Tribolium castaneum: one gene and its partner. The protein of the gene in region 1 purifies or fractionates together with the protein of each later gene. This does not show direct contact. Links are inferred from orthologs where the notes say so. Each region holds a gene or a part of one and is shown in the gene's direction. Other genes may lie near its edges.

The links.
Region 2: the proteins of sax (region 1) and Gbb purify together in Drosophila melanogaster (affinity purification with western blotting, with the first as the bait; 3 studies listed by BioGRID). This does not show direct contact. The link is inferred for Tribolium castaneum from reciprocal best matches to the Drosophila melanogaster genes sax and gbb.

What each region holds. Positions count from the first base shown.
Region 1 is NC_087396.1:20,719,996-20,724,219, forward strand, and holds the start of sax (saxophone precursor), read left to right. Parts: upstream 1-1,387; 5' UTR 1,388-1,393; coding exon 1,394-1,454; intron 1,455-1,565; coding exon 1,566-1,805; intron 1,806-1,865; coding exon 1,866-2,135; intron 2,136-3,205; coding exon 3,206-3,554; intron 3,555-3,608; coding exon 3,609-3,831; intron 3,832-3,885; coding exon 3,886-4,073; intron 4,074-4,121; coding exon 4,122-4,224. Other genes in the region: Slc35f5 (solute carrier family 35, member F5), read left to right, coding at 1-102, 153-312, 358-603, 655-730.
Region 2 is NC_087398.1:11,155,263-11,159,305, reverse strand, and holds the start of Gbb (glass bottom boat protein precursor), read left to right. Parts: upstream 1-1,180; coding exon 1,181-1,541; intron 1,542-1,598; coding exon 1,599-1,785; intron 1,786-1,841; coding exon 1,842-1,996; intron 1,997-4,043. UniProt on the Drosophila melanogaster protein: Required for the growth of imaginal tissues and for patterning of the adult wing.

The sequences.
Region 1 (4,224 bases):
CTTTCCTCTCCCTCTTGAGCGCATTTTTCTACGCCACTTATTTAGTTTTCCTCAAGCGCAAAGTGGATCATGAGGACAAAATCGACATTCCTTTGTTTTTCGGTACTTCTTTCCTCCTTCTCGCACTCAAAAAATAAACGAGTCTGTCGCAGGTTTCGTGGGATTTTTCAATTTGATTCTCCTGTGGCCATGTTTCTTCTTTTTGCACTTTAGCGGACTGGAAGTTTTCGAATGGCCGTCGAGGCAACAAGTGCTGTTGTTGCTTCTGAATGGGGTCTTAGGGACCGTTATCTCGGAGGCTTTATGGTTATGGTGAGTCTTTTCACAAGGTGGTAAAGTTTTGTAAGAAATGTTTAGGGGTTGTTTTTTGACGTCCTCGCTGATGGCGACCATGTCAATGAGTTTGACTATTCCGATGACCATGTTGATGGATGTTTTTTTGAAGAAGATCGTCTATCCGTCTCTGTTTTACACAGGGAGTATTCCTATGGTGGTGGCGTTTTTTGCCGTCACTTTACTTTCGCATTACGACAATTGGGACCCTGTACTCGACGTTATACGCTGTGCCTATCTAAGTATTTGCCGACGAACCAGATTTATGCGGTAATTAGGATTCAAACAATTGTGGGTTTGTTTATTGGGGCAATTGTGAAGTTTCAGGTTTGCTGAAATGCCGTCGGAACAAACCGAAGCCTTGATTGGTATTAACAGTAATGAACATGAAGCGTAGGTTTAGTTGATTTTTTCTTGCTGTTTTTATACCTACTATGGTGCTTACAATTTATGTGATGATAAGATTTTTACTTTGTGATCTTTTTTATTTTTATTAATTCATTGTAAATATGCGGAGTTAAGGAAGTGTATTAAACGCACGTAATACGTTCAAAACAGTAACTAGACAATATGTTCTACAATTAATTAGTAGTATTGTAACTCGTTCAACTAGCATTTCACGATCTCATAGGTTTTTCACAACTTTCGATAAGAAAAAGTCTGTGTATGCATTCCATAGTTCTAAGCCATATATTTTTAATATAATGTGGAAACATGTGTAACATATTTTCTGACAAAAACGTGTTAGAATGTAAATATTATTGCAGAATAGAGTATATTATGAACGCACCTTGAGTGTTTCAATCTCCCGCCTTCCTCCTTGTTTCCTAAAGCACGTAACGCCGAAAACGTTCCGGCCCTCATTAATGCTTACGTGCCCCCAGTTGTGGAAATAAATTACACAAGGCCCTAATAATGCTAATAACGTACCGAATTACTTGTTAACACTTTTTGTAATAAATAAATAACAATAAACGGCCCATTTCGAGCTCGCGTTACTGCGACTGCCACCAAAACAAAACAAAAATCCCGACTTGTGTTGTTATTTATACGGCGTAATATGGCCGCCACAAGTACCATAAATTGTTTATTAATAATATTATTGATACAAATCTGCACAGGTGAGTTGTGTATCCACATTCCCTAAAAATCTACATTCGTTCGGTTTGATTTATTGGGATTTTTGATCCCCCCGTGTGTGGAGTTCGTGCCCCATGTTTGATTGGCCGTAGGTGAAGTGATCCAAAGGCCTGAGCTGAAGGAAGACGCCGAGGATGAGGACGACGAACTCGGCAATGAGCACAGCGCTTTACCTAAAAACCTGGAGACTTTTCAAGTCAATCAAAATCAGATAACAAACGACAATGTGAAGCGCTACAAATGCCACCTGTGTGACCCCCCGAATTGCTCCAACCCGACTGTGTGTTTCGACGCCATCCAGTGCTGGAAGTCGCGCGTTCGGGAAACGTCCGGTAACGAGGCTTTGGGGTGAAATTGAAATTGGCGACATATTTTATTTTTCGTGTTTTTAGGGCTAGAGACTGTGACTAGGGGCTGTACGAAAGAGACAGACCAATTGCCGTTCTTATGCCGTACTCCGTCCTTTAGTGGGCAACAGAAGCGACAAGCCAGCGGCCAGTTCCAGGTCGATTGCTGCACTGGCGATTTTTGCAACAAGGGGGATTTCCCCGAATTGCCGATTTTGTTTACCAAGAACATGACGATGCACTCTGACTCAGTTGATTATGCGCTCAAAATGACGGCCGCGATTCTGGGACCGGTCGTGGTTATTGGCACGTTGGGTGAGCAAAATATCACATAATACAAACAAAAAATGCATAAGGATTTCTATTCAAACCTGTAGAAAAAACTGCATTCAGTGACAAATTTAGTGCATTTATTGCTGCCTTTTTAAGCAAAATGGCAGTGGAGCACAAACAGCTAAATAAATTGATGGTTTTACCCTTTTAAGGCATTAAAATTACCACACCAACTACTGTAAATAAAATAAAAAATAATTTATTTTATCTATGTATTTTATCTTGGTTAATCTTTTTTTTTGATATTTAATAACTCTTATTTATCTCAGCAGTTGCACAGAAGTCAGCGTTTACTATTAAATACTTAATCTTTTTCTTTATTTATGCGATTTTTTCAGAATTTTTATCACAAAACAACATTTAAGCATAATCTTTTTGAAACATATTGTATGTTAAATCAAATCAAAAAGAATAAATCAAATGTTTATTCATTAACTTTATTCACACTGTTATTGACAATAGATAACATTTATTACCGTGAAAAAAATATCAGATCGTTAGATTTGGACAGTTATTTTATATTTGTTCGACTAAACTTTTTTTTAATTATTTTTAAAAAGTATTTTTTGGCATTTTTGTTTGATCGGGTATTTTTGTAAAGTTTTGTAATTTTTTTAAGTTTGAAAGATTTTTTTCTGAATAGACTCAGAAATGGGTAGGTATCACATTTTCTTTAAGTTTATATTGTTTGACGGAACTTATTTTTAAAGAGAATTGTTCTTAGTTGACTAGATAGTTAAAAAATGTCGTGTGTTTTAAATAAATTAGCCTGTCTTTACAAGGAAGTAGGTGGCGTTAAGTTCTTTTAAGACACTAACTAGATAGAAACTTCAGTAATTTCAGCAAAAGCATTTTACATTATTTTCAGTGGATTTCAAAAATTAAACGACAGTTTATTCTTGAAAGGTCTGAAACGGAATAGTTGTTATCTTATCGCAATTGTAGTAATGCTAACGAATGACAAAATTGATTTATGAAGGTTTGAATTTAAAAGTTATATGACCAATGTAATTCAAAGTCAGACACCACTTTGATTAGAAATATCCCCCCAGGTGCCATCGTTCTTTACTTAATGCGACGCATTCACCAGCGCCGATTATGCCTCGAAAGTCGTCTGGATCCTGATACGTATTACGCTTCTGACGATTTGTTGCGAGCGACAGCTGCCGGCGACAGCACCTTGCGCGAATACCTTGAAAATTCTCTAACATCGGGGAGCGGTTCTGGTCTCCCTCTCCTCATCCAGAGAACAATGGCAAAACAAATTTCCCTCGCTGAATGCATCGGAAAAGGCCGATACGGCGAAGTCTGGCGAGGCATTTGGTTCGGGGAAAATGTAGCCGTGAAAATATTTTTCTCGCGAGACGAGGCCAGTTGGAACAGGGAAACGGAAATATACAGGTTGGTCCTCGCAAATTTATTAGCCATTTTTTAAATAAAACACTATTATTTCAGTACAATTTTGTTACGGCACGAGAATATTTTGGGGTACATTGGTTCGGACATGACGTCTCGTAATTCCTGCACTCAGCTATGGTTAATCACCCATTACCACCCATTGGGCAGTCTTTACGACCATCTAAATCGCACCACACTCACCCATCAACAGCTACTGCGTTTGTGTCTTTCGATTGCCAATGGGTTGGTGCACCTGCACACAGAGATATTTGGGACTGAAGTAAAATCACACACTTGATCGTAACTACTAAATTACGTTTAATTATTTTTTAAGGGAAAGCCAGCCATCGCCCACCGCGATATTAAAAGTAAAAATATTCTAGTAAAAAATAATGGGACTTGTTGTATAGCCGATTTTGGGCTTGCGGTGACGCATCAACAAGCCACTGACCAGTTAGATATTGGTTCCAATCCCAAAGTTGGGACGAAACGTTACATGGCCCCAGAGGTTTTAGACGAAACGTGAGAGTTTCATTTTATTGTAGTTTATTTCAAGACATTTCTTTGTAGGATACGAATGGATTATTTCGATTCGTTCCGTCGAGCTGATATTTACGCCCTAGGGCTTGTCCTGTGGGAATTATGCCGAAGGACAGTAAGTAATGGGATAGCG
Region 2 (4,043 bases), on another chromosome or scaffold:
TATCTAACACGGTTTTGTATAATTGGTTGCCTGTGTAAATCGCTAGAATTTGTAAAATTTTAAAATGTATATCTGAATTATTTTCATCAGCGTATAAATTTTAATTTTTCGTTTGTGTATTTGATGTTATGTTGATAATTGAACAAAAAAATTATTTTGTGAAAGTTAACAGAGTCGGACCAAGTATGCTAGGAAGGGGTCCCAAGGGCGCTGAATGATAAGAAAACTGTGATATTAAAGACTATATATATAATTCATTAAAGAAAACACACTAATGATAATTGTAACATATTATTAATTAATGTTCCGTAACGTTGTTATTTGAAAAACATTTGTTCATTAGGCTGTTACCTCATTTAAAAAAAAATGAAATTAAAGTTTGGTGCCGCCCTTGACTAAAAAAGACATATCAATTTTTTTTTTTTTTTAGATAATTGTTCAGCATAAAAATGCTCAAGTTGCCATAATTTAAAGATTTCGTATCTTTTACAATAACTGAGCTTCCTATGGTGGAGTTCGAACAACGGACACCCTGTATATACTACTTTGATCCAGTTTGGCACTAAAAGTGCGGCTTATAATATCTTCATAATCGAAAAATTACACTGTTTTCGATCTAATTTAGTGCCTGTTAGTGTTGGGTTTATTTTTTAGAAACTTTGCGACCTAATCACGATTCTAGGTAAAAAACATGCTAATAGTCATTAAATAAGATAACTAATTTTACCTCATTTTGGTAATATTTTGGAAAAAAAATATCTTTACCTCAAAAACGTGCTGAAGCAAGCGTAGTAGTTAAAAGCTTATTTGTTTTTAATATTTTAGCTAAATTTCCTTTTTGTTCCTGTTTGTCCTTGTGCAAAAAAGCCTGATATCCAAATAATAAAATGCATCATCACAACTGTTCGTAAACAAGCATCTCACCCATCCACCGAATTAATTAATTGACTTAATAACAAGCGTCGTAAGCCGGCTTACGATTGGACGCTTGCGGCGCTAAAACCTGTCTTAAGTAAACCCATCCACCATTGCCACATTTCGTCTTTTCCACTCAACCCAGGCTTGGTTTTGAGCAGTTTTGAACCAGCGACTTGACAACACCTCCTCGACCACCTCCGCAATATTCGAATTCCAGAGCGAAAATTTCGTGTTTGCGTCGGTGTTTCGGCCAAGTCCCGCGATGAATTTCGTGCTAGTGCTTAGTTTGGTGCTAGGAGAGGCGCTATGTTGGTCAAAAGCGGGCATCTACATCGACAACGGCCTCAACCAGACCGTCATCGACCGCGAGATGACCACCAGCGAGAAGCAGGAGATGGAGATGGAGATCCTGAACCTGCTGGGCCTCCCCGAGCGCCCCAAGCGGGTCTCCAACTCGCTGAAGCGGTCGGCCCCCAAGTTCCTCCTGGACATCTACAAGTCGCTGATGGAGGAGGAGAACGAGGGCCACTCCAGGAGCGAGCGCAGCGCTGACTTGAACCTCAGTGGAGACGAGCAGAATGCGATCGACGAGAGCGACGTTATTATGACTTTTGAGAGCATAAGTAAAGATTTTGGTCCATTTTTTATTTTTTTTTATTGTATATTTATATTTTATTTAGACCACCACGTGAGCAGCGTGCGGCACGAAAGAGGCAAAAGGCTGTGGTTTAACGTTTCGGAAATGCCGATTGCCGAAAATGTGGTCGGAGCTGAGCTCCGGATTTATCAGAAGGAAATTCATTCGCCTAAAAAGGCCAGAAATGTGTATACTGTTACAGTGTTTGAACTTGTCAACACAGATTCGGGGTACTTTATTTTCTGTACAATTTATTTTACATTTTTATTATTGGGAATTATTACAGTGAGAGAGAACTGGAGTACATTTCTGCAGTAAATACAACAGGTAGTTTCACCGGGTGGTTAAATCTGAATTTAACGGCTTGTTTGCCGACTTGGGTGGCTTTCCCCGATTCCAATAAGGGTCTCTACCTGTCGGTACATCCGGTCGATAAGCCAGGTAGGTAATTATCCCAAATTTTTTCCTAATGGCGTGTCATAAATGTCCATCATCCAAAGATGCAATTATTTTGAAAATACTTTGTAACAAAAATCAATAAACTGTTGCGAATAGTTTTTACCACGTTTTTCATCAATATTTTCTTGAATACAAGGCGAAAATTGTGCACTATGTAAGTTGTTTGTTTTTTAATTTTGCTAAATCACAATACGCGTCGAGAAATGGCAAAAATTAATGTTGTTTTACTATTTATTTCTTTCGATTTAGCTCATCCTTGAGTGAAAGTTGAAAAACCATTTCAAAATATAACAATATTGTGTTTTTCGCGTCTTTATAAGCACATTTTTTGAAAGTTTTGTTGATTAACAGATTGATAAAAATTACCAAATTGCGTCAGAAGTTACAGAATTTTTACTTTTTTGAGCCTTTTAGCACGTTGTCAGCCAGAAATGACGAAATTTTTACAAACAAGCCGAAAAATAAGCAAGTTGGGCCAGAAATGGTGTTGTGTTTTTGATTTTTTGCTGGATTATTTTTTAAAAAAGAAACGAAATTTGTCAAAATTATTCCAAAAATGGTGTTGTTTTTGCTCTTCAAGGGTTTAAGCTCGTTTTTTGAATTAAAAACTTACCACAAAACACGTCTAGAAATGAAAACAATTAGGTAGTCGACACTTAATATGTTATTTTGCCTAATTCACATGAGTGATTTTTTTGAACGTTTTTGAACTAATGTTTTAGTTTTTTTGTGCGATTTCCCTGCTAAATAATCAACAGAGTATTAATTTAAATGTAGAATTGTATTATTTTTACATTTTAGGGTTTTAGTACGGTTTTCAGCAAATATGCAGTGGCATGCAGTGTCCTAGCGAGTAGGTAAAGTCCATTATTTACCTTTAAATGTTGCAAAAGTAATATTTTTTTCTTAAACTGTAGATAATAACCCTCTGTCTCAACTAAAATTACTTTCAAATACACTGGCTGTTTCGGAAATGAACTACAATACAAGGTTTACAAGTTTTTCAATTTTGAATCTAGCTTTTGAAATTGATGATTTTGTCCTAAACTTTTATTGGTTGATTTTGCTCAGTTTTTGAAATGTTTTAATTTTTTTACCAGAAACACGCTGTTTTTAAAAATGTTTAGCTCAAAAACTAAAATTCCTACAAAAAGAGAATTTTAAAGAAGAATGTTCAAACTTAGGAACACAGAAAAATTAAGAAGTTTGTTAAAGGTTGAATAACCTCCAAAAGTTAAATGGAACACCCAATTTTTTGTTTTTCTTTTTCAAACATTAATAAATATTCTGTCTAAAGACATAAAGTTTCAAATGCCTACAGTTACCATTAAAAAATTTATTTCACTTTAAATTTAATTTCAGCAACATTACAAATTATTTTTAGCATTGTCGTTACCATAGTAAAGCTACATCCAAAAATGCAAAAAAATATTGGGTGTTCTGTTTAAAAAAAAACATAAATTTTTATTGCAGCTTATTTCCGAAAGAGCTTGAAAATAATTTTAGTTGGCTTAGGTAAAAAATATTACATTTCTAACATTTAAAGATGAATAATGGACTTTTTGGGACAAATATATAGTTACAAATGTTTGATAACAAACCGAAAAACGACCAAATAAGACCAAAAACGGTATTATTTGTTGCTATAAATTATTTTAAAAATTTTTGCTCTGTAAGCTAGTTTTTGAGTTGAATTCAAACACGTCTAGGAATCACAAAAATGAATCGAAATGAATGTTATTTTGGTTATCTTTCTGCGAAATCTTGTAAAAATCGGTTGATTAACAGGAATCTGAAGTTTTTTTTACCGTCTTTGAGCTTTTTGTCTAAAACTGACAAAAAAACACCAAATAATAAATGAACTGTTTATTTTTGAGCGTTTTCTGGTAGAAACAAAATTAATATTTTATTAGAAAAAAACCGAAAAATCGCCAAGTTGGGCCAAGAATTGTGTTATTTTTGGGTTTTCACTTAGTAAAACCCAAATTTTTGAAATAAAATTTGCCAAATTATAATGTTGAAAGTAAAT